2 linked regions of the Oryza sativa Japonica Group genome follow. The protein of the gene in region 1 interacts with the protein of each later gene in a biochemical or structural test. Links are inferred from orthologs where the notes say so. Each region holds a gene or a part of one and is shown in the gene's direction. Other genes may lie near its edges. The genes, in order: probable protein NAP1 and protein PIR.

Region 1 (14,900 bases):
GGCTTAATATTTTATGCAGTACATCTTACTCCATGAGAACTATCAACTCTATGTCCTTCCAAAAGTTTTAGAATCGAAGAGAATGGCTAAATCTGGACGTACTAAGCAAAAGGAAGCTGATCTGGAATACAATGTTGCAAAGCAGGTTGAGAAAATGTTAATGTATGTCCCTCGCAACCTCTTCTTCCCTACTTTGACATCTGACCTAAAATAACTCACGTGAAAAGGGATCTTGGCCTTTTAAGTGAAATTTGGGCAACCTATTGTTTCTTTGAATAATTTAGCAAAGCTTTCGGGATATTCCAATTTTTTTGGGCTGCTGCAAATACAGTGATCCGCTTGCAAGGAGGCAAATTATGTTTTATTGTTTGTTGCAACCTAACTTCAAAATGAGAAATTGTTCAATTATTCTAAAAAGTATGTCCTCTCCTTCATGCATATTATTCCTCCTGCAGGGAAGTACATGAACAAGCATTGGTGTCAGCTGATGCTCTACATCATGAAAGGAGAATTCTTCTGAAACAGGAAATTGGAAGGATGGTTTTGTTTTTCACAGATCAACCTAGTCTTCTTGCTCCTAATATTCAGGTTGGTTGAAAATTTCACATTTTATGTACTACCCCCTCTGTTCCAAAATATAAGCACTTCGGGTTTTAGCAAAGATTATGGTTGATTAGAAAAGACTATGATACTCATTAAATGAGGGATGGTTCAACGTGGGACTGTGGGATGGTGGTTAATGGGACAATTAGTACTCTAGAAGTGCTTATATTTTGGGTACAAATTTCAAATCTAGAAGTGTTTATGTTTTGGAACGGAGGGAGTATTACTTTTCTGGGACTGCCATAAACATTTCAGCAATGTCAACCTACCATATTTCTGATCTTAACATTTTGATGCTAGTTTTATGTTGGCCCACTAGTCCTTTCGAATATTAACATCTCTGTATCGTAATGGCTCCAAGAAGTTTTAAAGAAAAACTTATTCGGGTATGATGGGAACATATCATATGGATTTATAGGTAATACTGTAATAGTTATTGATGAAAGGGTCTGCATAAAATTTCAGCCAAATGCAGATCAACTGTCTGTGCCTAATACCTTGTTATTGCAAATTGCAAGGCATAGTAACATTCACATATTCTTGCAGATGGTCTTTTCTGCTCTTGCTTTGGCTCAATGTGAGGTGGTTTGGTACTTCCAGCATGTGGGGATTGCATCATCGAAATCTAGTCGAGGGAGAACAGTTGACATTGTTAGTAAATTTGCTCATTTTCATTTGGATATCATCATTCCCTGTTTCTGCCGTTCTGACTTGGTCATCAAAACCTTTAGGATGCGGCAGACCCAACTATTGGATTCCTATTAGATGGAATGGGCAAACTTTGTTGCCTGGTTCGTAAATATATAGCAGGTTCTTCCTGACCTGTTGACTTATTCAAGTTTTTCTTTCAATTTCTTCTGTATTGTCTGAAAATTGCCTTGTTCATGCATTAAACTTTATACCTTAGTAATGCTACATCAGACAGGCCTAAAGTTTTTGCACCTTCTCTGCTGAACATATTTGACAAGTTCTTGTAAATTATCTAAATAATTATAATCTAGCATAAGAACTGAACTATATCCATGCACAGTTGTGCGGAATATTCGGCTAGTTTCATATATGCTGTCAAGGAGATCTTTCATCCCCCCCCCTTCTGCTGACACTCGCTTACATTTGGAAAATGAGAATAGAGAAATATATGCCATAACTTATTGATACAAAATGATGATGCCTAACTCATTCTTTGTTATGTTCTTTTTGCAGCAATAAAAGGTTATGCATTATCATACTTGTCATCTTGTGCTGGAAGAATACGGTTCTTACTTGGTACTCCAGGCATGGTTGCTCTTGACCTAGATGCCACACTGAAGGGCCTGTTCCAGCAAGTCCTCCATTGTCTGGAAAACATTCCGAAACCTCAGGGGGAAAATGTCCCTGCTATTACTTGTGACTTAACTGTAAGGGTTTCCCTATTGCCATCTACAAAAAAACACCGAGTTTAGAAGAAAAGAGATGGCCCTAATAATTTTCAACTCATATCATTGATGAGCATGTGCACATACATACACCACACACATGCACATGACTTTCTGGTAGTGCTAATTCAGTCTCAGCTGATCTTTCCCATGCAATTTTCTGTTACTGCTACCTCTTATTTATTTGCACACTAGTGATTGAGGGTAAAGAAAATCTTTTGTCATGAGCAAACATCTTTTTCCTTGTAAATTAAATTTCTGATGAAAGCAATTACAATTATCTACTGATTGTCGCAATTTGCACATGAAACTATTGACGCTTGCAATAAAACATATGACGATGAAGCAACCAAGTATATTGATTTACTGTGTAGTGTGTTCATACATATGCTAATTTTTCCATACAATTTACTTTTAGCAATTGATAAAAACATATGCTGATGGTGCAGGATTTGCGGAAGCACTGGCTATCCATCTTGATGATTGTCACATCATCACGATCATCTGTAAATATTAGACATTTGGAGAAGGCTACTGTGTCTACTGGGAAGGAGGGCCTGGTCTCAGAAGGCAATGCTGCTTACAATTGGTCTAGGTGGGAAATTTGCTGCTTTCAATTGATTATTTCAATGTCATGACACAGATGTAACTAACATATTTTCCTAGCTTATGAATTCATTAGTAATCATGATAATTAATGGAACTGTACAGATATGGCATTTTTTTAAAAGTTGCATCCGCCGTGCTGCAAAGTATGGTAGATTCTAGAACATAGATTTTTGTCTTATGTGTTGTTGCCCTTCTCTAGATTATCTGTTGATTCTGTTCTGCATTTTTAGTTAGCATTTTCTACTATTAGATGTAAACTGGATTTCAGAGGGTATCTATGAAAATGTTCACTCTCAGCTTTAATATATTATGATTTGCTGGTGATCCATGTTTTTTCAGAATCATGTCCTTTTTTCTAATGATCCGTGGAATCATGTGTCCTCACTGTACTTATATTGCAGATGTGTGGATGAACTTGAGGGCCAGCTTTCCAAACATGGAAGCCTGAAAAAACTTTACTTCTACCATCAGCATCTTACAACGGTGACTCCAGTTTTGTTTATATTTTCATCCAATTCTCATAGTTTCATTTTCTTTTTATCAAGTACTAGTGTTTTCTCAGTGTTAGCAAGCTCAATTATGCTTGAAAATTGCAGGTCTTCAGAAACACAATGTTTGGTCCAGAAGGCCGTCCCCAACATTGTTGTGCGTGGCTTGGAGCAGCTTGCTGCTTTCCAGAATGTGCTTCTTCCATTATTCCTGAAGAGGTGCATATTTTAACTCACTTGTCTTTAAGTTCAAGCATTATTTTGATGTACAAAGAATACTGAAGACATGCTTTTGCAAAATGGCTAGTTTTGAGGAATTGTGAATAGGATGAGGTGGTGCATCATTATTGATCTTTACTCAACCGATAGGCCTCTAATGCTACGATAGTTGATTCAAAAGCAAGAAAGTTTTTGGGTACACTCTGGAACATGAAAAACTCTGGACCATCACGAAGATCAATAATTAGGTTGTAGAAAACAGTTTTCTCAACCTGTGTGAACCCATTAGACTTAGACCTTTGTTGCATGCATATGTTCTCTTGCAGCTTGAAAACCTGAAAGCATCTAGTTCTGTCTCTGTTCGGAAAAACCTATTAAACCAACCTTTTACAGTGTCATCAATAATATTTGAGTTTTTTTTAAAACATATCTCAGCTATGTTAATGCAATGTCTCTATTGTTTCCAAAAAAAATGCCATGTCTCTATTGTTTGAAATATTTATTTGTGAATGCTCCTTTGATTAACATGTAGGTCAACAAGATTGGCAGAGATTCTATCTCATATGTTGAGTCCCTTATCGAGTCTATAATGGGTGGATTGGAAGGTTTGATAAATATTCTAGATTCAGAAGGTGGATTTGGTTCATTAGAGATGCAGGTACAGAATTTCTGAACTCATAGTTGTTGTGCTATCTGTTATATCTAATGCCCTCACTTTCTATTCTTCAGCTTTCGCCAGAGCAAGCAGCTATCCGATTGAATAATGCAACAAGAGCAAAAGCTGTTTCAGGCTTGTTAGCACCAGGGCATGAGAGCTATCCTGATAATAGTTCTTCAGTTAAGATGTCAGTCAATTTTCTACTTCCTGGCACTGTTTAAATACTATTGAGGTTCCATTGCTCTAATTGTGGATGTATGAAAAAACAGGCTGGAAGCTGCTATGCAAAGGCTGACAAGTCTATGCTCTGTGCTAAATGACATGGAGCCTATTTGTGTTCTCAATCATGTTTTTATTCTCCGAGAGGTACAGTAACAAAAAAAGATTACCACCACCTTTCTTTTATGTCAAGAAGTTGTGATTTATTCCGTGTATTATACTGTTGATGCAAATAATCACATTCAAGGATAAGGATTGGATGTGCCAGTCTTCATTTATTTTATCATAAGCAGAGATGGATATGTTAGGTATTGTGGTAATGATAATTTGGATGGTGGTTCATGACTATTAAGATGGCGGCTTGCTAAATTTATTATTTTCTTGTAAAACAATAATCTTGAGATGAAAAAGGATCTGATTACATACATAAACAAAAAGAAAATATCTTGTTCCAGAAGTTGCTCTCTGGAAAGACAACTAGACCATGTTTCTTAATATATATAATACCGCCTAGATAAGTTCATTTTCATCTTAATGGTTTGTCTATTATTTTTTAATAGATTTTTTATGCATATTTTGTTTGTTTCTAAAACTGGGTATGAAAATGTTGTTGTTTGACAGTACATGAGGGACTGCATCATAGGTAATTTTAGGAGAAGATTTCACAGCATGATTAGAACTGATAGCTGCCTTCAACGACCATCAGTCATAGAATCTCTTCTAAGAAGACACCTGAGCATCATCCATCTGGCAGAGCAGCATATCAGTATGGACCTTACTGAAGGTATACGGGAAGTGCTACTTGCAGAGAGTTTTACTGGGCCATTTCCCAACCTGCAAGTATTTGAGACACCAACAGAAACACATGGAGGAGGATCTGCCATAGACATAATATCTAATTGGTATATTGATAACTTCGTAAAGGATGCATCTCGCACTGGAGTTGTTTTTGATGCATCTCAGAATTGCTTTAGGAGCTCACAGCCTATTGGTGGTGGATATTTAGCGGAAGCATTCACAGATAAAAGAGAACTCAAAGCACTTGTTCGTTTATTTGGTGGTTATGGAGTAGATAGGCTGGATAAGTTGTTAAGGGAACATACATCAGCTCTACTAAATTGCATTGACTCAGCGCTTAGGTCAAACCGCGATGCCTTAGAGGGCCTTGCTGGAAGTGTAAACTCTGGTGATAGGATTGAAAGAGATGCAAATCTAAAGCAGATAATTGACATCGAAACATTGGCTGACTTCTGTATCCAGGCAGGTCAGGCAATAACTTTTCGCCGGTTGTTGGTAGAAGCTGTTGGAGCTGTTCTTGAAGAGAAAGTACCTCTCATATATTCTCTGCTCAAGGGATTAGCTATGCAGTTGCCAGAAGAGGTACCTGATAAAAATGAGATCATTAGACTAAGAAGGGTTGCTAGCAGTGTTGGTGTCGGTGACAAACATGATGCCGAGTGGGTTCATTCTATTCTGGCAGAAATAGGTTCTGCTAATGATAATTCTTGGACCTTACTTCCATATCTTTGCGCTGCATTTATGGCATCCAATATGTGGAGCACTACTGCTTATGATGTCAATACAGGTGGATTCAGTAACAATTTGCATTGCTTAGCAAGGTGAGCACTTGCTACCTATCGGTTATGTTTGACTGGTATAGAAATATCCCACCCCTTCCGTCCTCTCTCTCTACTGATATCTCAGATAAAAAACCTAGTGGTTTCCTTCATGTAACAGAAAGAGAAAAACCTAGTGATCGTGGTGAATATGCCATTCCACTGCTACCTCTAGAGTTTGTGAGATCTTCTTGGCTATCTCTGGTTTGATGTTTGCTTACATGTTATATATTTTTTCCATGAGAAACATATACAATTTTTAAGTTTAGAACTTATGTTATATATTTTGAAATCCATTGCAAAAACGAATATTTTGCTAGTACTTTCTCTAAGTATGTATCAATGTGTCTTTGAAGAATTCCTTGCCAATTTTGAGAGTCTAGATACTGGAAATATTGCATGGTAGTGTTAAAAACAAGTTTGGAAATGCCAAATTTCCTTACTATGGATGGTAACAAATTTACAAGGCAGCAGAAAAAACTAACAGGAAACATTGTCATATAATTTGTTTTCCTGCTTACAGCTATTATGCACAACTAAGTTCCTAAAGCTTCTCCTAGCATCGATATTAGTATATTTTTTATATCGTAGGCTATTGACAGTAGAGGGCGTAAGCGTTAATATTGGGTGCTCTGAATTGCATGTAACTGCTCTTTGTGTTCTCCCAGGTGTGTAAGTGCTGTGGTTGGAGGAAGTGAATACACTAGGATGGAAAGGGAACATCGGAGAAGTTCACTTTCAAATGGGCATATGGATGAGCTGCAAGAGCCTGAATTACTGAGCCGTGTCTCAGCTGAAGCAAATATTAAATCTGCTATGCAACTCTATGTCAAATTGTCTGCAGGGTTAGTCCTGGATTCATGGAATGACACTAGCAGGTAAAGTATTATGTTTGTCCAATTTGTTCCTGAATGTCATCTTGGTTGGCTAGGTTTTCTCATACTACCCTCTATCCCAGTCCATTTGCATGAATGAATTGCTTAGCCATGTTGGACAGCGTACTGGATGTGGCACAGATACTAGGTGTAACACTAGATATTGCTTACTGTTTGGTGCTGCATATGCCGCTCATTTGCCCCAGCATGCTAATGATCCACTAAATTGCCATTTCTCAGTAAAACCATTTAAGCAAAAACTAAAACCAAATGAATATGCAATCCAATAGGCCATCTAGATAGATGGAGATTCTAGTTTTCTTGGAGGCCAGGAAATTATTGATTGTCTTGTTTCAAATACTTTAGTAAAAATCAGTTATGATTTTGGTATGCTAATGGTTTTGTGGTCTGCGTTGGTTGCAATTTTCTTACAGGCCATACATTGTTCCAAAGCTAATATTCCTCGATCAACTCTGTGAGATGTCCCCCTACCTCCCAAGGAGCACCTTAGAAGTTCACATACCTTACACGATTCTGCGTTCAATCTACCATCAATTATATGGAGCTTCACTGATGGCCACAGAACCAATGGAGCCATCCCCAAGGCAGTCCCCTCTGATATCTCTGGCTCATGCATCACCATCAATGAAGCAAAATCGAGCAGACACAACGCCCAGGTCTCATACTTTCGAGCCTGGATACCACAGTTCATCTGGGTCCCAGTACGATGAAGGTTATGAAGGGGATAGAAGAACTGGAGAGAGGCAACTCCGAAGCATGAGGCGATCTGGGCCACTAGATTACACTGGAACCAGGAAAGTGAAGTTTGTGGAGGGTTCAAGTTCTGGAAGCCATGGGGCTGGCTCAGGCTCACTACAGAGATTTGCTGTGTCAAGATCTGGCCCCCTATCCTACAAATAAGATCATGTTAACAAGTAACAACAGCATTCTACTGGCAATCATAGTTTGCCAGCATCAGTATCTAGCAATTTGTATTTGAGTGGACTCCAGTCAATGCTCCCATTCGTCTTTGTAGAGCATCTGAGCATATATGTTATTTAGCTCCTTTGCGTGAAGTAATATGTATTCTAGCTGTATTTACGTACCTAGTGCTCTTGTAAGTCTATATGTATGGTACCTATTGCTCTTGTAAGTAAACCCTCCTCTGTTGCTACATGAATTAGCAATGTGCTAGTTGTATGTCTGTTAATGTAAATGGATTGTATAATTGCCTTCTATCCCAGATGTAACGAACGACCAGAAACGTGTCAGCTGCTCAGAAAAATTGTGTTGCAACAGCCAACAAATAGTTTCTTAAAGTCCAGTTGTGATAAAGAGTGTAAGGAACTTGGATGTTCTGAATCCAGTTGGATGGAGTCCTCTTCGCCCATCTCGGTAAGTTGTTACTACTTGTCAATTCAATATGCTATACATTACTATTGGCACGGTCTGCATTGCAATCAATCTGCGAACGAAACTATATCTTTACAAATTCTTCCAACATATACACTTGCTTTCTTTTGTATATTTCTCGACCATGGTACTACAACAATTCTATACTGCTATTACACATGCAAATCCCTTACGGTTTACATATTTTAGTAACAAATCCTTATGTTGTGCATTTTTGTTATGTTCTCTTACATTTGTACAGTTAAGTGATTGGTTATTAGTGTATATTTGCAGTTTGCACGCATCAATTCCGTGCTACCGCCTCTGGAACTTGAGGTGCTTGATGGAGAGGAAGAAGAGGAAGGTGAAGAGCGCGATGATGGCGACGTGCAGGCTGGTGACGAGGTTGAAGTAGCGGTCCTGGAGTCCGAGGTAGCCCTCCAGGAACTCCTTCACCGTCTGCTCTGGCTGCCCTGGCACCTGGATCAGCTCCGTCCGGTCTCCCAGCTGCGAGAACATGAGCCCGTACACCGTCCATGCCGCCGGGTTTGCCCAATACACCCATCTCCACCACACCGGGATCATCTGCATCATTTGTTGTTGTTCATCAGGTTAGTCAAACATACAAATTTTCTTTTCTTCGCAAGCACACACAAATGTTCAAAACGAAATCTAAGACACGATCTCTGATTATGAAGTTGTGGGGTTATCAAGGGTAAACTTTTTATCAATTTTGTTAGGAAGAGGTCTGAGAATTTTAGATTTATCCTCCCTAGTAGAACCTAAATTTAAGGTTTTGACAAAAATTGGGGACTTGAAACAACAGAGTAGCAGGGTAGTAGTACCTGTCTTCCAATGATGAATCCAGAGAAGACATTCCAAAAGATGAAGATGAGGAAGGACAACCCAGCTGCTATCTCAATGTTAGGTGTTAGTGCTACTGTCATCATCCCATAGAGCGTGTAGTACAGGAAACTTAACACCATGTAGAGGGCAAACCAAAAGAACTTTGTGGCAGTCATTTGGAACCCAATCATTGGGTACACAATCGCTGAGAAGATGAATACTTGGACAAACATGTAAGGCAATTCAACTGCCACCTGCACACAAGAATCCAGCATTTGTGTTTAGAGTCCATTTCAAATCCTCTATTTTTCAGAATAGTTGTTTTTTTTATACAGATCTATATATTAATTACCTGAGCAATGGCGTACGCCATAGTGGAGTACATGCCTGCCGCCTTCTCTCTGTAGAGGACAACTCTTTCCATTCCTACAACTGGTTGTAAGATGCTGCAGTTCATGAAACCCAGAAATAGTGCTGACCCATACACAACCCCTAGTATGTTGAATACATCTTGCTCATCCTTACTGTTGCACAGGAGAACAAAGTTAGCATTTAACCAAAACAATATTGAAGCACTACAAGTTCTCATGAAATAAAAATATTTGGATAGCTATTCGTACTTACATGGTTGAGCCAATTTTCCAGAATACAATTCCAAACATAATTGACACAGCAAATGTGTTTATGAATCGGACAACGTTGTGTTCTGAATTTTTCCAATAAGCACAATTTTGCTTCCACAGGCATGCCATGCATTGTGCCCTAAAGTCTTGCCAATATTTGGGTGGAAAATGTAGATCCTCTGTGTTTGGTTCTGGTTTTCCTAGGTCATCAATTAGTTGCCTGTTCTCCCTGAAGAAACCATGTGTGATTTCATCATGTTTATCCTTTTCCTTCTTGTTCAAACAAGTTAGCAAAATAGTAATTTTTGCTTTATGATCGTATTGCGTTACCAGTATAGGGATGAGCGCTGATAAATTTCTGCATAGTCCACTCCAATCTCATATTCTGCTGTGCGCGAACTGATATCTAACATCCACGCTGCTGGGTTTTGCCCCTCTTTTATTCTAGGAACACCAGGTATAGCCTGCGACAAAAGAATTTTAAGACCTCTTCTCTCCATTTTGGAACAAGAACCCAATCTTAGGTAATCTTACCTCGAAATACTTTATCATATTGCTAGATAGGGGACCTAATGAACCACTGTATATGAGCTGACCTCCTCTCTTCATAAGTAGAAGCTGCGATCAATAAGATTGAACTCAAATTCAGAAGGACGACCTATGTACTTGTTCATAGGAAAGGTAAATTGAGCTGTGGTTCCTGAAATATTCTACTTGTCACAACTATCTTTAACACTTTAATGGTTGCTTGTGTTAAAAGAACATTTTAATGTGTGCTACTATTGAAGAAAGGGGAGCATAAATGTGAAGTCAATTAGTTTTGCTGTTTGATTTGACAAAAAGCACTACTTTTGGTGCTGTGCTTTCAATTATCGTTCAGTCATTCACCTGCCACTACTGGACTATTCTTTCTTGATTTTGTAGTGGAAAATATTTTTGACTCATTTATTGACTTACTCATACCTCGTCAAAAGATTCAAATATCTCGATGCTTGGCTGATGAATTGTGCAGACAACAGTTCGTCCAGTGTCTACTGTCTTTCTTACTGTTCTCATGACAATTGCTGCAGCACGAGCATCCAAACCAGTGGTTGGCTCATCCATAAATATAATGGAAGGACTAGCTACCAACTCAACAGCTATTGTTAGTCTTTTTCGCTGCTCAGCAGACAGGCCTGTCGCTCCTGCTAGGCCAACCATGGCATTCTTCAGTCCAGTTAACTCAACTAGGTCCATGACTTCATCTATAAACATCTGAAATATGTTTGAACATAAATATCATGAGATCCTATGTTTGATGTGAGCTTCCAACTATGTGAGAAAAAGGACAAGAGGTCAATGCACATACATTTCTCTGGTGAGATTTAACATTTGAAGGAAGGCGAAGCCATGCAGAAAACTGCAGTGATTCATATACGGTGAGATTGGGGGAGTGAATGTCACTCTGTTCACAGTAGCCTGAGATCCTTGAGAATGTCTCCTGCTTCTTTGGGTAGCCTGCTATTTTTACAGTTCCTTCAATGTATCCTCCAGTTTTTCTTCCAGCCAAAACATCGAGCAGTGTTGTCTTTCCAGCACCAGTGATCCCCATCAGAGCTGTTAGCACCCCTGGCCTGAAAGCACCACTGACATCTTGTAGCAGCTGAAGCTTTTTATCTGTTACTCCATATTTTGTCATCTCCTGTCAAAGATATTCACAGTTGATTAAGATCAAGAGTGGAGCAACAGATTGGATGTGGTTAACATGATTAAACTATTTGGTAATGTCTGATGTGGTCAAGATCTTACCTTAGGCATGTCAACAAAATAATTGATATGATCAAATACAAGGGAGAGGGGCTGAAATGGGAGGATGACTTGGTCCGTTGATGCCGTGCCATTTCCAACTATCTGGCTGTTGTAGTCTACTTTCACCTTTGTGGCATTGATGTTAACTTGATGCTTGTGTGGAGCTGCATATGATAACCAACAAGAGTGAGTACCATTTGTATTTCTATTTCAGTATCTATGAGGCTTAGTGTAGCTTGGCGTACATACATCTCATGTATTGTAGTGCAAATATGCTGAGGATGTTGAAGACCAGCGAGAATCCAAACAAAATGCTCACACAGATCCAGTACCAGTGCCACTCTGTGAGCAGCCCCCTTACCTTGAGGATCGTTTCACCAACAGTATTTGCATTTGCGAAATGAAATTCCTATAAGCAGAGATCATCATCATTAGGAATTTTTAAACAGCTTTGATCAAGAATTTTACTCTACTTTTTGGTTAGCTATCTCAAGTGTTGAAATGAGTTCTTACTGTAGCCCATCTGTCGTCAAGGAATTCATTCAGGGCAACTGCATTCTGTGCATAGGTGAATGGGGACGTCCAATATCCCCAGCGCAGCCATGGTTGGAGGTTATCTGGACAAGTGTACAAACTGGTGAGTATCATTACTGCACATAAGCCTTAAATTGTTTCCTGTAGTACAGAGTTGCCATACTTTTCAAGGTACTCTAAGCAAAATCGTCTAACCTTTTGATATGACAAAGCCTCCAAGTATGTAGATTGCTATAAGAGCTGCAGTCCCCAGCATATTAGCCATTACTTGTGTTCTTCCTATGGCTGCCAAGAAGCGATACAGGCTCATTGACATTTGATGCATGGCAAAAAGTACCACAAAGTGCTGGATAAATCTGTCAGAAGCAAGAGAAACTTCCACCTGTTACTTCAATCTATTCAAGTAAGAAAATCCTTATCCTTATTGTTTAAATATAGAACTTGCTAGGAGGAGTACCTGACAAAGGAAGGTGCGTAGCCGATCACATAGTAGGTTAAGCCGGTCCAAAGACCTGTCTCTACAAATGATATTGGCAGACTAAGGAGGAATACTGAAGAAAGGAGTGCCCATCCTGGCAATGCTAGTATTTCTCTTTGCTTGTAGAAGATGGGGAGCCGCTTTATTGTCATTGCAATTTCAGTCATGCCATTGAAGTTTACTATGACAACAGCCATAAAGAGTGCTCCCATGTACTTATTGGCATCAAGTACAGTATCATGTCTCATATTTGTCCGGAGAAAAAGAGTTGAGATCACTAAAGCGAGAACAGTTATCTGTATGGTCTTGAATATATGCACTGGAGAGTTTCTTTTTAGGAGCAGCACTTCCCTTGAAAAGCATGCCTTGAAAATATTCCAGCTGGAGATCATGCGACTTGTGCTTGTTTTTACCTCCTTGCTCTTTCCGGCATTAGTTGATTCAAAATGATCATTTTCTACGAGTCTTGGGAGGTACGAGGTACGGAAGGACTCTGCAAATTTTTCAATTGAATGGTATTGATACTTATTTGCGTTGCCTATCCAGTATTGTTTTTGGTCCATCTTCGAGGTCACCTGACCAAATGAGAAAGTTACTGTTAGTATTATGTTGTTATGCACAAGTACCTATTAGAGAATAATTGATTTTGGGAACACAAGAAAAACGTGGCTATCCTGAAGTTGCTCTGTAAGGAGATCAACTGTTAGCAATGTTTTTATTTGACAATTTTTCTTTATGATAGGAGTAATTGATAATGGAGTACCTCTTGAAGGAAATCTGCTACATTCTTCCTGCTGGGGCATTTGAATCCCATAGTTTCAAAGAAATCTGTAGCATTTTCTCGAGGACCATGGTACACAATTTGCCCCTCACATAAAAGGATTATGTCATCAAATAACTCCAATGTCTCAGGTGGTGGTTGTAGCAAGGAAATAACCATTGTGAGATCCATCAAGTGAGCCATTTGTTGCAGAAACTTCATGATCTCAAATGTGGTGGAGCTATCTAGACCAGTTGATATATCATCCATGAAGAAGCATCTTGCAAGACCAACTAGCATCTCGCCTGCATCAACGAAGCACCTGTAAGTATGTCGTTTATCTGGTCCTGCTCTTTCTCTGCTTACTTGCTGCCATCTGGCTCGATGGCTAGAAGCATTTTACCATGCAGATTTCTACGATGATAAGGACTTTACTTTTCTTTCTTTCATACAATAATTAAGTTGTTGAGATGATAAAAGTTTTCTTTCCTATACCGGACTAATTGAATGTACTCTTAAGTGGTAATAGAGGATGATGATACGAGCAGAAAACGTAGTAGAAAAAGATACAAATATTTACTGGAGAAGTGATAATAGAGGATGACGAGAGAAACAAAATACATAGTAGAAAAAGACAAAATGCTTACCGATTGTAGCTCTTTTCTTTTGTCCTCCTGATATGCCTCTTCGCATCTCGTCTCCCACTAGGGTATCAGCGCATTCGGATAAACCAAGTATCTGCATGCACTCAATTTTTATGGCTGTGCCTCAGGATAAATAATGAATCAAACAAACAACACACTAACCTTGATAATATAGTTTGTTGTAAGGTTGCTTCCTTCTCCAAAGGTTGTGGCCTGTGCAAATCAGCTTTTTAAGTGATGATAACTAAATAAGAAATGAGTTTTATGCAAAAAAAAAAGGTTAACCACCTTAATAAAAGAGTCAAGTTCTTGGTCCACTCTATTGATGACACCTTTTTTTCTTCTAATTGCTTCTCCCAGCATCTCTAAGGTGGTCATTTCAAACAGGAATGAGTTAGTCTTTATGCCATACAAAAATTAACATACCTTAAGTACGTCCATGAAAATTTCATGAGTTACAGCACCCAATGTCTTTTAAATTGTGAAATAGAATAGGGTACACAAAAGTCATATCTTGTTTGTGAATTGAATAACACGCCATACAGAAGATGTTGTCTTACCAAATTCATTATTAGTTCCCAACATCTTGGATGAGAAGTCAATAGTTTCTCTCACTGTCATTTCAGCATGGTGAAGATCATACTGGCTAACATAAGCATGTAGATACTGAGGTGTCGAGGAATTCACTTCTTCTCCATTGTAAGTGACCTTTCCTTTCATCTATTGAGAAATGTTACATCATGAAAGAAAATGCATTGTTTAGTCAATGCTACGCATTATGTTAAGTACATACTTTTAATGGAATGTACACAATTCACATTCACTTTACCTTCAGAGAAGAATCCAACTTTCCTGCTAATGCTTTTAATAAGGTTGTTTTCCCTGAACCAGGTGCTCCGAGAAGAAGTGTCATCCTGATTGCAGAATGGGTTGCAAAATTTCATTACCTCAGGTAAGATAATTAGTGCAATAATTAAAGTGATAGATCATAATTCATTTTTTATTTGAAATTTGTGAATAATGAACTTTCTGTTTCTGTACTTTTAAGAAGTTAGTCAAATTTCTTAGAAAATGATAGCAGTTATTTTCAGTTTAATTGGTATTTGTCTTAACCTCTTGCGGTCGTAAATAGT
Region 2 (15,860 bases), on another chromosome or scaffold:
TCGCTCTTCCAAATAGTCGAGGTCGTCTCGGCGAAGCTGATCTTGATCAGCCTCGCAATACATGGTGACCCGAGGGGACCTCAGGGTGAGCTCAGATGGGAGGACCGTCTCCGCGCCGTAGACGAGGAAGAAAGGCGTTTCCCCGGTTGCTCGGCTTGGCGTGGTTCGGTTCGCCCAGAGCACCGCTGGCAGCTCCTCGATCCACGAGTCGCCGTGCTTCTTGAGGATGTTGAAGGTCTTGGTTTTGAGGCCCTTGAGGATTTCCGCGTTGGCGCGCTCCACTTGGCCATTGCTTCTAGGGTGGGCGGGGGAGGCGAAGCAGAGCTTGATGCCCATGTCTTCGCAGTAGTCACCGAAGAGCTCACTAGTGAACTGGGTGCCGTTATCCGTAATGATACGGTTAGGCACCCCAAACCGAGCAGTGATGCCCCTGATGAATTTAAGCGCGGAGTGCTTATCGATCTTGATGACCGGATAAGCCTCGGGCCACTTAGTGAACTTGTCGACAGCGACATACAGATACTCGAACCCACCCGGGGCCCGCCTGAACGGACCTAGGATATCGAGCCCCCAGACAGCAAACGGCCACGAAAGAGGTATGGTCTGCAGGGCCTGGGCCGGCTGATGGGTTTGCCTGGCGTGGAACTGGCACGCCCTGCACCGCCGGACCAGGTCGACCGCATCGTTGAGAGCCGTCGGCCAATAGAAACCCTGACGAAAGGCCTTGCCAACCAAGGTGCGTGAGGCGGAGTGGGCTCCGCACTCGCCTTCATGGACATCGGCGAGAAGCTCGACGCCTTGTTCCCGAGGAATGCACTTCAGGAGGACTCCGTTAGCCGCGCGCCGATTGAGGGTCCCTTCCACCAGCACGTAGCGCTTGGAGATGCGCCGGACGCGTTCACTCCCTTCGCGGTCCTCGGGTAGAGTCTTATCTGCGAGATACGCCTGGATCTCAGTGATCCAAGCAATCAATCTAGGGGAGCTGGGAGCGCTCCCCTCGGGTCCCGAGGCCTGGACTCCGACGGGCCTCGGGGGCCGTTCAGGCGCGTCCGTCTCCCCTAGGGGGTCGGGTCGCGCCAACGGCTGGGCAAGCCTTTCTTCAAAGGCGCCCGGTGGGGTCTGGGCTCGCGAGGAAGCGAGCCTTAAGAGTTCGTCGGCGACCGCGTTATCCCGTCTGGGCACGTGCCGAAGCTCTATCCCGTCGAAATGGCGCTCCATACGCCGCACCTGGCGCACGTAAGCGTCTATTTGCAGGTCAGAGCACTGGTACTCCTTACAGACCTGGTTAACGACCAACTGGGAGTCGCCTAACACCAGGAGACGGCGGATCCCCAGTCCAGCTGCCACTCTGAGTCCCGCAAGGAGTCCCTCGTACTCCGCCATATTGTTGGTCGCCCGAAAGTCGAGGCGGACCAGGTATCTGAGGACGTCTCCGCTCGGCGAGGTCAACGTGACCCCCGCACCGGCGCCCTGAAGAGACAGGGAGCCGTCGAACTGCATCACCCAGTAGGCGGTGTGAGGCAGCTGCGAGGGGCCCGAGCTGGCCTCGGGGGCAGAGACGGACTCGGGAGCTGGGGTCCACTCCGCCACAAAGTCGGCGAGGGCCTGGCTCTTGATCGCGTGGCGTGGTTCAAAGCGCAAATCGAATTCAGAGAGTTCGATTGCCCATCTCACCACCCGTCCAGTACCCTCTCGGTTATGCAAGATTTGGCCGAGGGGGTAAGACGTAACCACCGTGACCCGATGCGCCTGGAAATAATGGCGCAACTTCCTCGAAGCCATCAGAATAGCGTAAAGCATCTTCTGGGCCTGAGGGTATCGGGTCTTGGCGTCCCGGAGGCCCTCGCTAACGAAGTAGACGGGCCGCTGCACCTTTCGGCGGGGCCGATCCTCTTCGCCAGGGGCCGCATCTCCAGGGCGCTCTTCGTCCGAGAGGCCACGCGGGGCGCACTCGGCTTCTGTGCCGACGCCCTCGGGGTCCGAGGGCGACAGGCGCGGCCTTCCCGCAGTGGCCCCGGGGCCATCCTGGGGGTCGGGGGCGCCTGGCACCGTCGGACAAGTAGGCGGAGGGCCAGCTCCGGCCGTCGGGGGCCTTGGGCCGCCGTTCGGCTCGGGGGCCTCTCCTCCCTGCTCTCTCCCGGGTCGAGTCGACACAGGGTGGGGATGCGCGGAGTGAGGGTTGTCCTCGTCGCGCTCCACGACCAACGCCGCGCTGACCACCTGCGGGGTTGCCGCCAGGTAGAGTAGCAACGGCTCATCCGGCTCTGGGGCGACCAGGACTGGGGGAGAACTGAGGTACGCCTTCAACTGAGTGAAGGCCCGCTCAGCCTCCTCCGTCCAGGTAAACGGCCCGGAGCGTTTGAGGAGCTTAAATAGGGGTAGTGCCTTCTCTCCCAGCCTCGATATGAACCGACTTAGGGCGGCCATGCAGCCGGTGACGCACTGCACATCCCTAAGCTTGCTGGGGGGGCGCATCCGCTCTATAGCTCGTATCTTCTCGGGGTTGGCCTCGATGCCTCGGGCAGAGACCAAGAACCCGAGAAGCTTGCCCGCAGGCACGCCGAACACGCACTTATCGGGGTTCAGCTTTATGCGGGCGGAGCGGAGACTTTCGAAAGTTTCCGCTAGATCCGAGAGTAAGGTCTCTTGGTTGCGCGTCTTCACAACCAAGTCATCAACATAGGCCTCAACATTGCGTCCTATCTGGCTACCCAAAGAAATTCGAGTAGTACGTTGAAAAGTAGGACCTGCATTCTTTAACCCGAAAGGCATTGTCGTATAACAATAAGTTCCTATGGGGGTAATGAATGCAGTTTGCGGCTGCGCCAGAGGCTTCGGTGGCGGAGGACCGCCCGCCGGCGCCTAGGCGCTGCTGCGCCGTCATGACCAAATCGGCCATGTCATCCAGCCAACGTCGGGCTGGAGTCTTTGAATCGGGGACGACGGGCGGGTGACGCAGGAGCGCGCCCGCAGCCTGGAGCGCGCCCTGGGACGTGCCGCCATCGCCGTAGACGAGGCGGCGACGTGCCCCGTCTCGCCGTCCTCCCCCGTCGCCCGCGGGCGGCGAAGTCGCGAATCCTCCGACCTCCCCGAGCGCCTCCCCCGCCCAAGATTTCGGCGAGAGGGGGACGGTGGGGTGCGAGCCCGACGGCGCGGGTTCTGCTCCCCGTCGTCACCGCTAGCGTTCGGAGAGAGGCTGTGCGCCACTGCCCGTTCGGCCATTGGGCTGAGCGGGAGAGGCTTGGCGCACACGAAAGAGGACGAGGGCTTAGAAAGACACGCGCGCCCTCTACCTGGCGCGCCAGATGACGGAGCGTGGGGCTCCTCACCGGGAGACCGCGCAGGCCCCCCTTTGCCGGTTCGGCCGGGGGCGCTAAGTGAGGTTCTTCGCCCTCGATCTGAGGAACGTCAGCGAGAGAGAAAGTGCACAAGACACGGGCGACGTAGACAGGTTCGGGCCGCTGAGAAGCGTAACACCCTACTCCTGTATTCTGGTGGATCTGTGGCGTGAAGGAATACAGAGTGCCGGAGAGCGAGAGCGAGAGAGTTCAGGCTCTCGAACCCCCTTCCCTAGAGTCCCAACCCTCCTTGCTCTTTTTTTCCCTTTTCCTCCCTCCTTTCTCTCCTAGGCCTGGGCCTCCTTTTTATCTGGTCAGGGGTCACCACATGGGCCTCTAGCTGCCTAAGAAGGGAAACATGCTTTTTACAATGAGGGCTAGTCTACAGCCGGAAGTGACCTCTGACAAGCAGAGCACACGCCTCCTGCCCCGCTCGCCTGCTTTCCCGGTGGACGCCCATTTCAACCTTCATTTAATGGCCAGCGACTTCCTTGCCATACCTGTGCTGAAGCCTGGAATGGATCTGACCGGGACTGACATACCAACTCCAGGAGTTAGCACGCCGGCTCCGGCTAGGGACGAGAGCCAGGAAGCTCTCATCATTCCGACGGGACGGGGCGAGGCGTGTGACAGGCCGCCTGTTGCCACCTAACCCGCGATCTGACCGGTCTGTGACCGGTCACACACCGCGACCGGTCACGGACCGGATAAGCGTGTGCTGCGCCGCATTAAATGCGGCGTGGTGCGCTCGTCCAATCTTGCTATAAATGCGGTTAGGTGAGCCCCGCTGTGCTCACCTAACCCACACACGTGGCGCCAAAACCACAGGGGGTCGGGGCGCCCCAGCCCTCGGGGCCGAAACGGGGGCGGTCCGACCCCTCGGGGAGACAGAGGGAGGGGTGGCCACGTCATCCTCGGGCCCGACCCCCCCCCCCCGAGGGGGTCAGGCCACGTGGGTGACCGCGGCTACCCAAGCCTCTAGTCACGATACCCCCAGCCCCATGTCACCGACACTAGCCCTCATTGTAAAAAGCATGTTTCCCTTCTTAGGCAGCTAGAGGCCCATGTGGTGACCCCTGACCAGATAAAAAGGAGGCCCAGGCCTAGGAGAGGGAAGGAGGAGGGGAAAAAAAGAGGAAGGAGGGTTGGGACTCTGGGGAATGGGTTCTAGAGCCTGAACTCTCTCTCTCTCGCTCTCCGGCTCTCTGTATTCCTTCAGGCACAGATCCACCAGAACACAGGAGTAGGGTGTTACGCTTCTCAGCGGCCCGAACCTGTCTACGTCGCCCGTGTCTTGTGCACTTCCTCTCTCGCTGACGTTCCTCAGATCGAGGGCGAAGAACCTCACTTAGCGCCCCCGGCCGAACCGGCAAAGGGGGGTCTGCGCGGTCTCCCGGTGAGGAGCCCCACGCTCCGTCACCTAACGATCTAAAATCAAATGCTAAAAAATAAACTACATGAAATAAATCTAAAATTAACTCTAAATTCAATATTGAAAAAAAATTAATTTTAATTAATTAGTATAAGTATAAACGAAAAGATAAACGAGGTTGTTAATCATGCATGACACACCAGCAGCTGTGCCTGTACGGTCCAGTTACTACTCGGGATGAGTTGCCTGCCTCTGAACCTGTAGTAATTTAGCCATCGCCGCTGTCTTTCGCTGGCCTGGCCATGCCCATGCATGCATCCAACAGCTGAAACCGAAGAATCTTTCGATGCCCTCCTGGCCTTTCGACGACAAAGCAGCAGCACGATGATTTCAGGTCGTTCTCTCGCCGTGGCTGCTGCCCCTCATTTGGACCGCGACGCATCTCTCGTCTCGTCCGGCGTTTTGTCCCGTCCCCTGTTCTCTCGCGTGCACGCCGTTGAGGCGTTGAAGCTTCCACGTCTCGCGTTTGTCGCTAGCACGCGGCACACAGCCTCTCATATGCAGGTGTCCGCTGATCTGATCTGTAAAACAGAGTGACAAATGTTGGTCTAATTGCAGGCTTTCGCACAATAATAAAAGAAAGACCAACGAGCTGTAATTGGCGATGGACCCTTTGTCATTTCATTTGCTAGATCCATTGCTTCCCTAGCTAGTAGTTGTCTAGTGCACTTCAAGCTTGGTTTATTTTGGTCTGAAAAGCGAGCTAATACGACATGATCAACCATTTCTTGTGTACCTAATCATCTATACCCATCTCTGCACGTGATCTGGGCCACCCAGTAGTGTACTAGTACCTGTAGAGAGGCCGCATCGGTCGGCTCTTAAAAACGCCTAGTCCGTGCAGCCGTGGTGCTGCCTACGTAGGTACTACTGCTGCCCTGCGCGCTAGCTAGTGTCCTGTAGCGTCGTATCGATCGACAAATCATGGCACACGAAGCCCTGAATAATACGAAGCCCTGAATAATAGCCCTGCTTGCATGCAGTTGTGCAGGGACAATCACAGGTAGTAGGTCCTTGCAACTGCAACAGTACTACGCTGCTGTGCGGGCGGAGTACATGCATTTGCCTTGCATATGGCCACGCAGTACGGCGGCGAGCGAGAGGCATCGTCAAACAGTCACATGCACGGACGGCGGCGCCCCCACGCCATTGGATTGGATTGGACCGCGTCGTGGTGGTGGACCGCTGCTCGGCTTCACTGCGCATCAATGGCGTACGAGACAACGATGCAAGGACATGGGAGCTAGGGAGATGAGGGAGACCAGGCTTAACGGCATCCTCTGTCTCTTGGTGGTGTCAGGAGAAGGTAGAGTTGGCCTTTAACCTCTCCTTGATGTTTGTTTTCTTTGGGGGCGAAAGAGCAAAGAGAAACCGAATGGAAGTGTGATAATATCGGGCAATAATCTGAAGTGTTAACCATGAAGTCTGGAGAGTGAAGTTATGGACATTACTTCTGAATGGAAGTAGCACATGTCTACATGATTGAAGTTGTGATCATCACCACATAAAAGGACAATGCATGCAACATGATGAGAATAGCATCGAATCATGTAGACCCATCACCTTTGGTTTCAACAACAATGCTGTATGAACATGTACGGTGCAAAATGACTACGGCAGTACGTGCAAATTAGCCCACTGACCAATTTGCAGCCTGATTTGAATATTGCAGGCCGTACACAGGTCCAGAGAACCAAGTTGTTACAAATCGGCCCAGAGTTCGATTTAGATTTGGTTAACTCGGGCCTAATTAAAACTAGGCCCAACACCATTCTACAACAACAAACCGGTCCACCCAAGTCCATAATTAGGTAAATCGTAATCGTAACGCCGTCCACTTTCACCGTTTACTTCGAGTGCACTTCACGGCTTGTTCACCTCTCTCCACTCGCCCCACCGTCCCCACGGCCTCGTCACTGTTCACGGGGACAGTACGACTACGACGCTAGCTGCCACGAGTAGGTGGCTGCATTGGTTTGCATCTCCCTCGCTCCCCGCACGAACTCTGTCTCCACCACCACCACCTCGCTCCCACTCCCCACCGCCCGGCAGAGCTCGCCTCCTCCTCCTCCTCCTCCTCCTCCTCCTCCGCCGCCGCCCCCGGGCTCCGCGAGGCGGGCGACGGCGAGGATGGCCATCCCCGTCGAGGAGGCCATCGCCGCCCTCTCCACCTTCTCCCTCGAGGTAAGCCACACGGCTCTCCCTCCTCCCTTGCTGCTCCCGTTCCCCCCCCCCCCCCCCCCCAAAAATTCCGTCCCGATCTGCTCGACCTGGGAAACGCTATGCGGAATGCGGGGCCCGTGCGTCTCGTCCGGGCTGCGGGGGACTTGGTGTTGGTTTTGCTGCGTTGCTCGAATTGCGTTGCGAATTGGTAGTGTCAGTATGAGTGTTCGTCCGTTTGTGTGCTCGTATTCAAAGTTTAATACCCTAGGAGAAGTGCGAATCTAGGGTTTTGGGGGTCGGTTTGGTTTTGTTGCAGTCCAAGTTGAGTTTCAGAGGATTTCTCGCTGGTCGCTCGCCTGAATTATGGGGTGGTTAAACTAATGTCGTCCAATTTTTGCTCCACTTTAAATCTCTAAAGGAGCATAGAGCTGCACATTTTGTGCTGTTAGACTTCCCTAACTTCAATCATCTGGGTAGGTGTTGATCAGTGGTGCTGCTCTTCTGTTGGGTACACTTCAATTTTTTCTAGATCTGTTTAGCTTCGACCCTAATGAAATGTTGAACGGGAGCTTCCAACGGACTGTGTCTAAATGCAGAAGGATGTGTCGTGGTCCCCATGGCTTGACATATAGAGGTGTGAGGTTTGCCAGCTCTAGCTGTTGTCAAGCTCATTGTCAACCACAACTAGTAGAATTCCCTGTTTTGATCTCAAATGTAGGAGAATATGGAAACATAGGATTTCATTACCTTCGGTTGTCTTATGGATAAGTTATAGTTTCATGTTTCTCTCTAAGTAATGTGGAACAGATCCATATGCTCTTGTTTTGTTATAGTTTGGTCACCACATTTTAACCTTACGAAACACATACTTAGTTAGTGTGCTATAAGTAGCAATCCACTTTGTTATAGTTTGATCACCACATTTTAATCTCAGACTCTTGCATGAATGTGATCTTTTATGTAGTATCTGCACCTTTTTTGCTTGATCCTGATTTTCATATTAACCTCACATATTTTTAAATTTCAGGATGAGCAACCAGATGTGCAGGGCTTGGCTGTGCTCCTATCGAGTGAAAGATATGCAACTAATAGTCCTATTGGTATGCAGCATGACGATGAATTTATTGTCATTGTCACTTTTAACTATATTTTGCTGTTAATTGTTTCTTTGATGCCTGATGGCAACACCGTGAAAAGTTGGAAACATCTACCATGTTATCAAAGTCTTGATTGGTTTTTCTGCTCTTAGAAAGTAACTATACTATTGAAACAATAGCTTCGGTAGTTTAATTAATACCGAGTTCTGATAGTTGTTTTTGTCATCTGTTATTTGCACTTTAATGTTCAGAATACAGTGATGTTGCTGCTTATCGTCTGTCATTAGGAGAAGATACAAAAGCGATCAACCAGCTGGTTTGTAATCGTATATTTATTTGTGATTGTATAGTGCATTCCTGTTGCTTTTCAATCCTTTTTACATGGATTTAAATGGAAGATGATTACATCGTTTCTTCTATTCTTTCTGTGGATGAAAAATGTACTACAGAATACTCTGATTCAAGAGGGAAAAGAAATGGCTTCTTTGCTGTACACATATCGTAGCTGTGTTAAAGCGCTACCTCAGGTTTGCTTCAGCTAACTATACATTCATTTGATTGCCATCCAAGTAGTTATATTATTTCACAATTCTAAGACATTCGACATTTTGCAAGTCATTTGGAGATTTACTATTGGTAATAATGAAGAAGACCTTATTTTTCAACAATTAACTTTCGCTGTCATTCTGTCTCTCAGTATCAGTTTTCTTCTTTGATTTGTTACTCTATTTTCTCACTTTCTGTGTGCCAATCCTGAGCCGGCTGTAGTTTATGTTGATTTATTCATATCCTTTCTGAGGTAGTTCTGTTCGAGACTTGAGTTGATTAATTTGCTGAAGTATCATATTGTGGACTTTGGAACTAACAGAATCCTCTTTCTATTATAGAGCACATTGTACTCATTTTTGAGTTCATTTCTCTATTTTTAGTGTCAAATGGATTTTATTGTACATATTACATAATTCTCCAAGTGATGTGCAAATTCTACACGATTCCCTACTGTGATCTTGAATATCATAGACTATAGAACTTTGAATGCAGCTGCCCGATTCAATGAAGCATAGTCAAGCAGATTTGTACCTTGAAACATATCAAGTTCTTGACCTGGAAATGAGCCGCTTACGTGAAATCCAGAGATGGCAAGCATCTGCTGCTTCTAAGGTAGTACCTCTTCTGTGTTCAATTACTTCATAATACCTGTCTCTTCTGCTACCTCTGTCTCAAAAAGAGTGCATTTCTGGCTAAGCACATGGACAACCAAGTCTGTAGCCAGAAATGCACTCTTTTCTGGGACGGAGGTAGTATGTTATCTCATATCTGCTTCCATAAGTGATTTCAGTTTCTATATTGTTAGCCAATTGTATTTCTTGTGCTAATAAATAGTAAATGAGTATGTCCTGTCCAAAGACTTTTGAAACTTAAAATCTGAGCTAAAAAGTTCCCGATTGATCCACATGATGATCATGCGTGCATGTGGTGATGTCTATCAGTCTATGTTAGTTGCCGTTGTGCCGATGTGTTATGGCATCTTTAAACTTAACTACCAATTAAGTTGGGTTATATACAGCTCTAAGTGTAATGTGAGCTTGAAAAACAAACCATGTGAAGTGAGGAACGTATTTCCACAGATATAGAACCAAAACTTGCTACCTTTTGAACTTCTCAAGATCGTAGGAATTAATAGCATTGCATAAATACAGACAGGTTCTGCAAACAGAAAATGCAATTCACTTGGAAGCAGCTCATGTCGTAATGCATTAATTATATTTGTCTTGTTGTATACTTAAATTAAATGCAATAAATACCTGAGTTGACAAACAAACAGGTGATCTTTTTTTCTAAAGAAATCACAAACTGTCAAGAAAACCTAGTTGAAGGTGCAAATAGATTATCATTTTTTGACTGATTGTTCAATTCTTTCTCATTTTGGGGTTTCTAAGTTGACACAGACCTAACTTGAAGACTTCTTTTCCCATATAACTAGCTGGAACTATCTTCATCTTCTTAGGGGAACTGTTACTCCCCTGCAACACTATCAGATCTATTCACATACAAATATTTTGGTCTCTGAAATTTTTATTGTAGTCCCATCATAGCTTATATTACCTTTTGAGCAGTTTAAGTCCTTCAGAAATAATATAGTACCTGTTTCATATTTTTATACCTGTGTTATCTTGTGCAGTTGGCAGCTGATATGCAGAGATTTTCTAGGCCTGAAAGACTGGTTAATGGACCCACAATAACTCATTTTTGGTTTGTCCTTTTTCCCTAGTGACTGTTCCTTACCTCTTTTCTTTGTCATATGCTTGTTTATCGTGCTAAGTTACTGGCCCTATACTTCTAAACAAAGTGGGAAGTATTCTGGCATCAATCTTCAAAACCCTATCTCTATAATACTCACGGGGGGCCTTAAAGATCTAGCAGATATGAACATAGATTCTTTTTCCCCGATTAAATGGTGAATGTTGAAAATGGACTTGTTCCTTTATTGGTGGTGGTGGTGTATGTGTGCTCTACACCTCACTTCAGATCTTTTGTGAATGGACTTATGTTGACGTATATGTCTTTTGTAGATTGAATTCTTTGTGCATATTTATGTGCAATTGCCAGTAGATCTAATGTGAATACTTAATGTGAGAGCAGTAAGTACTTACAGTTATTTAAGTCTAGAACTTATGGCATGTTTATTCGAGATCCATTTTATGCTAGTTTAAGAAAGAACATGAATTCTATAAATGGGATCCATTACTGTATTTTATCTTCTGAGTTCTGACTTCCCTGAAGAATTTATATTAATCTCTCTTCTGCACGAAACTTGCATGCCTGGATAGGGTATATAACTTATTTCATTATATATTACTATTTTTTTAGCAGCGCAATTAATATCACAACCTTGTTCAAACTCAGTAGTCAGTATATAATCTGCCAGATGATGTTACCTTCATGTCACTCATTTTATTTCAATCCAGGTCTATGCTGAAGTTGCTTGATGTCCTTGTGCAGCTTGATCATCTTAAGAATGCAAAAGCAAGTATACCAAATGATTTTTCATGGTACAAGAGGTACATGATCATTTTAACATTTAATTTTGAGAGCTCCTCTCACAGAATGTCAGAGATGAGTTGTCACAATAAAATTTGTTGATTTCAGTTGATTCTTCATCATTCAACATCTGTGAACAAAATCAACAAATAAAATTGTTTTTATAGGTAGGATTATTTTAAACTGGCCGTAATGATAACTTAGGAATGTTTAAATAGTTTTACTTACTTGTTGATGGAAAATTATATTTTCATATGATTTATGGTTTCTAAAGTACAGCCGCATTTGCTTTTTAGTCCTTGCCCCTGTAGATGATCCAACAATTAATTAGTGCTTATAATCTCATTTGTCTTTCATGCAGAACATTTACTCAAGTAAGCACCCAGTGGCAGGATACTGACACTATGAGAGAAGAGCTGGATGATCTTCAGGTTGCTCGTTTGTCATGTCTCATTTTTTTTACAAAATTTTGTTATGTTGGTTCATGAATTCAGCTGGGGAAAGGGTCCAAAGACACGAGATAGTGCACTCACCCTCTACTAGATCGGCAGGCTTTTTCCAGTTGTGCTAGAGAGACTGTGAGGCTTACTGGACTAACTCAATAGATTCATTGTTGAATGATAACGGGGGTACATGGGGTTCCTTGATATATAGGGAGGACCCTAAGAAACTATTCTCTAATATTATGGAAACCCATTTTGAATCTTTATCTCTAGTTTCCTAACAAATGTAGTCTGTTTCCTAACCTAAGGCTTTCTATCTTTATTTGACTTGATCCTTTGCTGGCACTTGCAGATTTTTTTGAGCACCAGATGGGCCATCTTGTTGAATTTGCATGCCGAGATGTTTCGAACAAATACGTATCCCACTTTTTTTTTTAATAAATGAAGAATATTTCAATGGTTGTATAAATCTTATATATGGTTTCTTTCTAGAAACCCCTTCCGTAAGCAGTAGGAAAATAATATGTTCTCAAAATAAATAAAATATATCTACCACAAGGATCTTTGCTGCCATAGTAACCATGCCCTCCAGCTGCAGGACAAAGTATAAGTTATAGGAATTGACTAAAGAAAACACCAACTTTCTTGTGAGTATTGTAGGGATATAGTTCTACACTTGAAAATTGTTATTGGAAGTTTATTTACTTGAATTATCTCCCATTGATGCCTATGTAGCAGATGTGTACAGCACATTTGTAGATTGTGGACTTGCGTTTGAACAGTCTTGATAATTCATCAATAGTCATTTACAATACAAGCATACATGATTATTGATTCTGCATGTACCACACTGGAAAACTTAATTTTTCTTGCCTTCTATGGTTATTTTCTTTGATTTCCTTTGACTTAAAGAATAGTGTTGAGGACATTCTACAGGTTCTTATAGTATTTTGTGTGGAATCACTTGAGTTAGACTTTGCTCTTCTTTTTCCCGAGCGCCATACTCTACTTCGTGTTCTCCCAGTTTTGGTTGTTCTAGCAACTTCTTCAGAGAAAGAGAGTGAGTCACTCTATAAGAGAGTCAAGATGAACCGTCTTCTCAATATTTTTAAGGTTCGATTACCAAGTTGTCCAGATAGTCTACTTATTTTCTTTGGGTTGAGTGAGTATTATGTGTGCTATTTAGGATATATTTACCATTTTACTTAATGTTTTTCTTATTTATTTTTGGCAGAACGATCCAGTTATTCCAGCGTTTCCAGATCTGCATCTCTCTCCTGCTGCAATTTTGAAGGAGCTATCATCGTATTTTCAAAATTTTTCCAGTCAAACCCGTCTTCTTACTCTTCCATCTCCTCATGAAATCCCCCCTCGAGAGCTACAAGAATATCCTTTTCTGTGTCTTTTAAACATGTTTTTGTTATTGTATACTACAATATTTGTTTTTACCTGAACAGAGGTGGCTATTATCCAAGAATCCCATCATCTATGTAGATAAAAAGTTCAGAAAATATTTGTTATTTTTTCTTGCTGATATATCATGTGCTAAGTGACCTAAATTTATGTGTGGCAATTGGTCATGTTATGCTTGAAATTCCTTAACTAAACCACCTATCAGAGGCATTACTTGATTTTGAACCACATGGGAACTATCAGAGCAGAGCATGATGACTTCTCTATACGTTTTGCCTCTGCAATGAACCAGGTGGAAGTGAAGTTATTGTCATTTTTGGGTTAGCATGTAAAGTTTTCATTCCAGTGCTTTAGTAACTCTCCTAAATATTAACCGTGAAACTGATACACTACGGATTACCATTACCGTTTATGTCCTTGATAGTAAGCACCGCAAAACATTGTCTCATGTATATGTGATATATCATTATTGTGGAGTTCTATGCAAGAAGAAAAGTGTAAAAAGAGATTACACTTAAATTTTTCAATTAACTCTGAGATAATTACGATTGTTTTTCTTTTGTGTTCTGTGATGTGTGTTTACAATGAAAATTGCAATGTGCTTCCAGATGATAATATTGAAGTCATCAGATGGTGCGGATAATGACTGGTCAAGAGATATTAAGGGGAACATGTATGATATTGTTGTTGAAGGCTTTCAGCTTCTTAGCCGATGGACTGGCAGGATATGGGAGCAGTGTGCCTGGAAATTTTCGCGCCCTTGTAAAGAACCACCTTCAGATTCTCAACATGGATCGACAACATTTTTTGACTATGAAAAGGTCTTCTTTCTTTTAAAGCAGTGCTGGCAGCCAATTATTTTAGTGTCTTAGTTCTTCTATTTTGTCCTGGTTACAAACTTTGTAATTCTGTGTTTTGTTTCCTCTCCTTTGTAAATATTCTTTTGATAATATAATATATCTACTAGATAAGGCCGGTAGTATTTTCAGTAAAAAAATATTTTTCTTCTACTCCATTTCCTTATGTTTGAAATTGTTTGTGCATTGTTTATTGAAAACCTTGCATCCCTTTTCTTTTCTTTACCCAGAATGATAATTGTACTAATGCTTAATTCCAATCAATATAGGCCTCAGAATTCTAAGATACATTTCAAACATCAAATTCATGAATATAATGATTGGAAATTTAGAATTCCTTTGATCCTTTACTATGTCGGAAACTTTAGTCTGAATTTATACACATGCATGATCATCAATCTCCAGGGATGGGTTCGCAAGGTTTCTTGTTATTTTTTTTCCCATTACGGGATAGATTAAATACAGAACCCTGATTTGGCTTGTATACACTAAGTGAGGCACATGTGGGCACAGGAAGAGACCTTTACACCTGATTTGTTGGCTGAAACTAATTGATTGAATCTTTCTGTTCATATTTCTACATTCTTCCACCCTGACTAGGATAATGGTGCCTACCTGTTGCATACTCGCATTGTGTAGTGGGCGTGTAGCCTTGAAATGTCAGTAAATTAGTTCCTTTCTCTAGACCTAAAAAAATAACACATCCCAAAAATGTATTATTTTATTTTTAATATTTTTCTTCCTTTTTGTTTTGATATAGGTTTTTTTAATGTTTACAACTCAATTTTATTGGTTATGGACATTGGACATCTTGATTGATTATGGACATTTAACAACTTACATGCAGGTAGTACGCTGGAACTACACTGGAGAAGAACGGAGGGCTCTTCTTGAATTAATTGGTTACATAAAAAGTATTGGATTGATGATGCAACGCTGTGACACCTTAGTGTCTGAAGCCTTATGGGAAACGATACACATGGAGGTCCAAGATTTTGTACAGGATAAACTAGATACTATGCTCCGTACAACATTTCGGAAGAAGAAGGACCTATCTAGGTTACTTGTTCGTCTCAACCATCCTTATTTTAACATGATACTGTAAATTTGCCACCAGCAGTTCCAATAGGCTCCAATAAATCTTGTTCTATGTTTAGTTCAATCTGGGGATGACATAGTTACTTATGTCAATTCTGTATTTGTCATTTATATTTATTTATGTATGATGCCAATTCTTCCTGAAATTTGAGAATTCATTTGGGAACTTAAATTTAAGTTTGTCCATTTTTCCTTTGCTTTTCTTTCAGGATCCTCTCTGATATGCGAACCCTCTCCGCAGATTGGATGGCCAACACTAGCAAGGGAGATCCAGAACACAACTCGTTAGAAACAGAGGAAATGAGACAAAGCACATTCTACCCAAGGCCAGTTGCACCAACAGCTGCACAGGTTTTTATTAATACTTTATCATGTGAAAGCTTTTGCTTCAGTAGCTCTATGTTCTTACAGTAACAAAGGGGTTAACTATCTCATCTATATTAGTTGGAGTTTAGAAATTTGGTCTGCTATTTTGCACCATTGATGTTCCACATGTAAAGACTTTCCCTTATTCCCTTGTATTTCTAGCATAAAAACTATCCAGTTTAATAATTATGTTGAGTAAAATTTGATGATAAACCATGAGTATAACACATTGTAAAATTCTCCATTTAACTTTTCCGTTTTCCAATTTCACATCATACTGCAACTTTAGTTGCCGTGTTCTAATGATCTTCTGTTCACCCTGCTTCTGATTTTTAACTTTTGTTCCTTTTACCAATATGTTTACAGATTCATTGTTTGCAATTTCTCATCTGTGAGCTTGTATCTGGTGGTAATATGAGAAAACCTGGAGGACTATTTGGCAATAGTGGCTCTGGAATACCTGTGGAAGATCTTAAACAGCTAGAGACATTTTTCTATAAGCTCAGTTTTTTCTTGCATATTTTGGACTATACAGGTGCCTCGCCTTGATGCCTTCTCAAACTTAGAAATAGCTACTATCATGTTATAATTTCGCTTTACGTTTGGTGTGT

The links.
Region 2: the proteins of probable protein NAP1 (region 1) and protein PIR form a complex in vitro, tested with the Arabidopsis thaliana proteins (2 studies listed by BioGRID). The link is inferred for Oryza sativa Japonica Group from reciprocal best matches to the Arabidopsis thaliana genes GRL and PIR121.

What each region holds. Positions count from the first base shown.
Region 1 is NC_089042.1:27,417,901-27,432,800, reverse strand, and holds the end of probable protein NAP1, read left to right. Parts: intron 1-19; coding exon 20-162; intron 163-455; coding exon 456-588; intron 589-1,149; coding exon 1,150-1,254; intron 1,255-1,334; coding exon 1,335-1,413; intron 1,414-1,806; coding exon 1,807-2,000; intron 2,001-2,467; coding exon 2,468-2,613; intron 2,614-3,028; coding exon 3,029-3,110; intron 3,111-3,223; coding exon 3,224-3,334; intron 3,335-3,866; coding exon 3,867-3,992; intron 3,993-4,063; coding exon 4,064-4,179; intron 4,180-4,261; coding exon 4,262-4,358; intron 4,359-4,832; coding exon 4,833-5,830; intron 5,831-6,495; coding exon 6,496-6,705; intron 6,706-7,136; coding exon 7,137-7,623; 3' UTR 7,624-7,961; downstream 7,962-14,900. Other genes in the region: aBC transporter G family member 45, read right to left, coding at 8,410-8,679, 8,940-9,194, 9,293-9,464, 9,565-9,792, 9,894-10,027, 10,098-10,181, 10,527-10,817, 10,912-11,244 and 11 more. UniProt on the Arabidopsis thaliana protein: Involved in regulation of actin and microtubule organization. Part of a WAVE complex that activates the Arp2/3 complex.
Region 2 is NC_089037.1:2,434,852-2,450,711, forward strand, and holds the start of protein PIR, read left to right. Parts: upstream 1-6,734; 5' UTR 6,735-6,900; coding exon 6,901-6,954; intron 6,955-7,960; coding exon 7,961-8,033; intron 8,034-8,281; coding exon 8,282-8,346; intron 8,347-8,479; coding exon 8,480-8,557; intron 8,558-9,071; coding exon 9,072-9,191; intron 9,192-10,212; coding exon 10,213-10,283; intron 10,284-10,999; coding exon 11,000-11,092; intron 11,093-11,433; coding exon 11,434-11,503; intron 11,504-11,867; coding exon 11,868-11,932; intron 11,933-12,432; coding exon 12,433-12,628; intron 12,629-12,749; coding exon 12,750-12,901; intron 12,902-13,126; coding exon 13,127-13,220; intron 13,221-13,536; coding exon 13,537-13,749; intron 13,750-14,632; coding exon 14,633-14,844; intron 14,845-15,092; coding exon 15,093-15,234; intron 15,235-15,615; coding exon 15,616-15,784; intron 15,785-15,860. UniProt on the Arabidopsis thaliana protein: Involved in regulation of actin and microtubule organization. Part of a WAVE complex that activates the ARP2/3 complex. Interacts with the active form of RHO-family GTPases.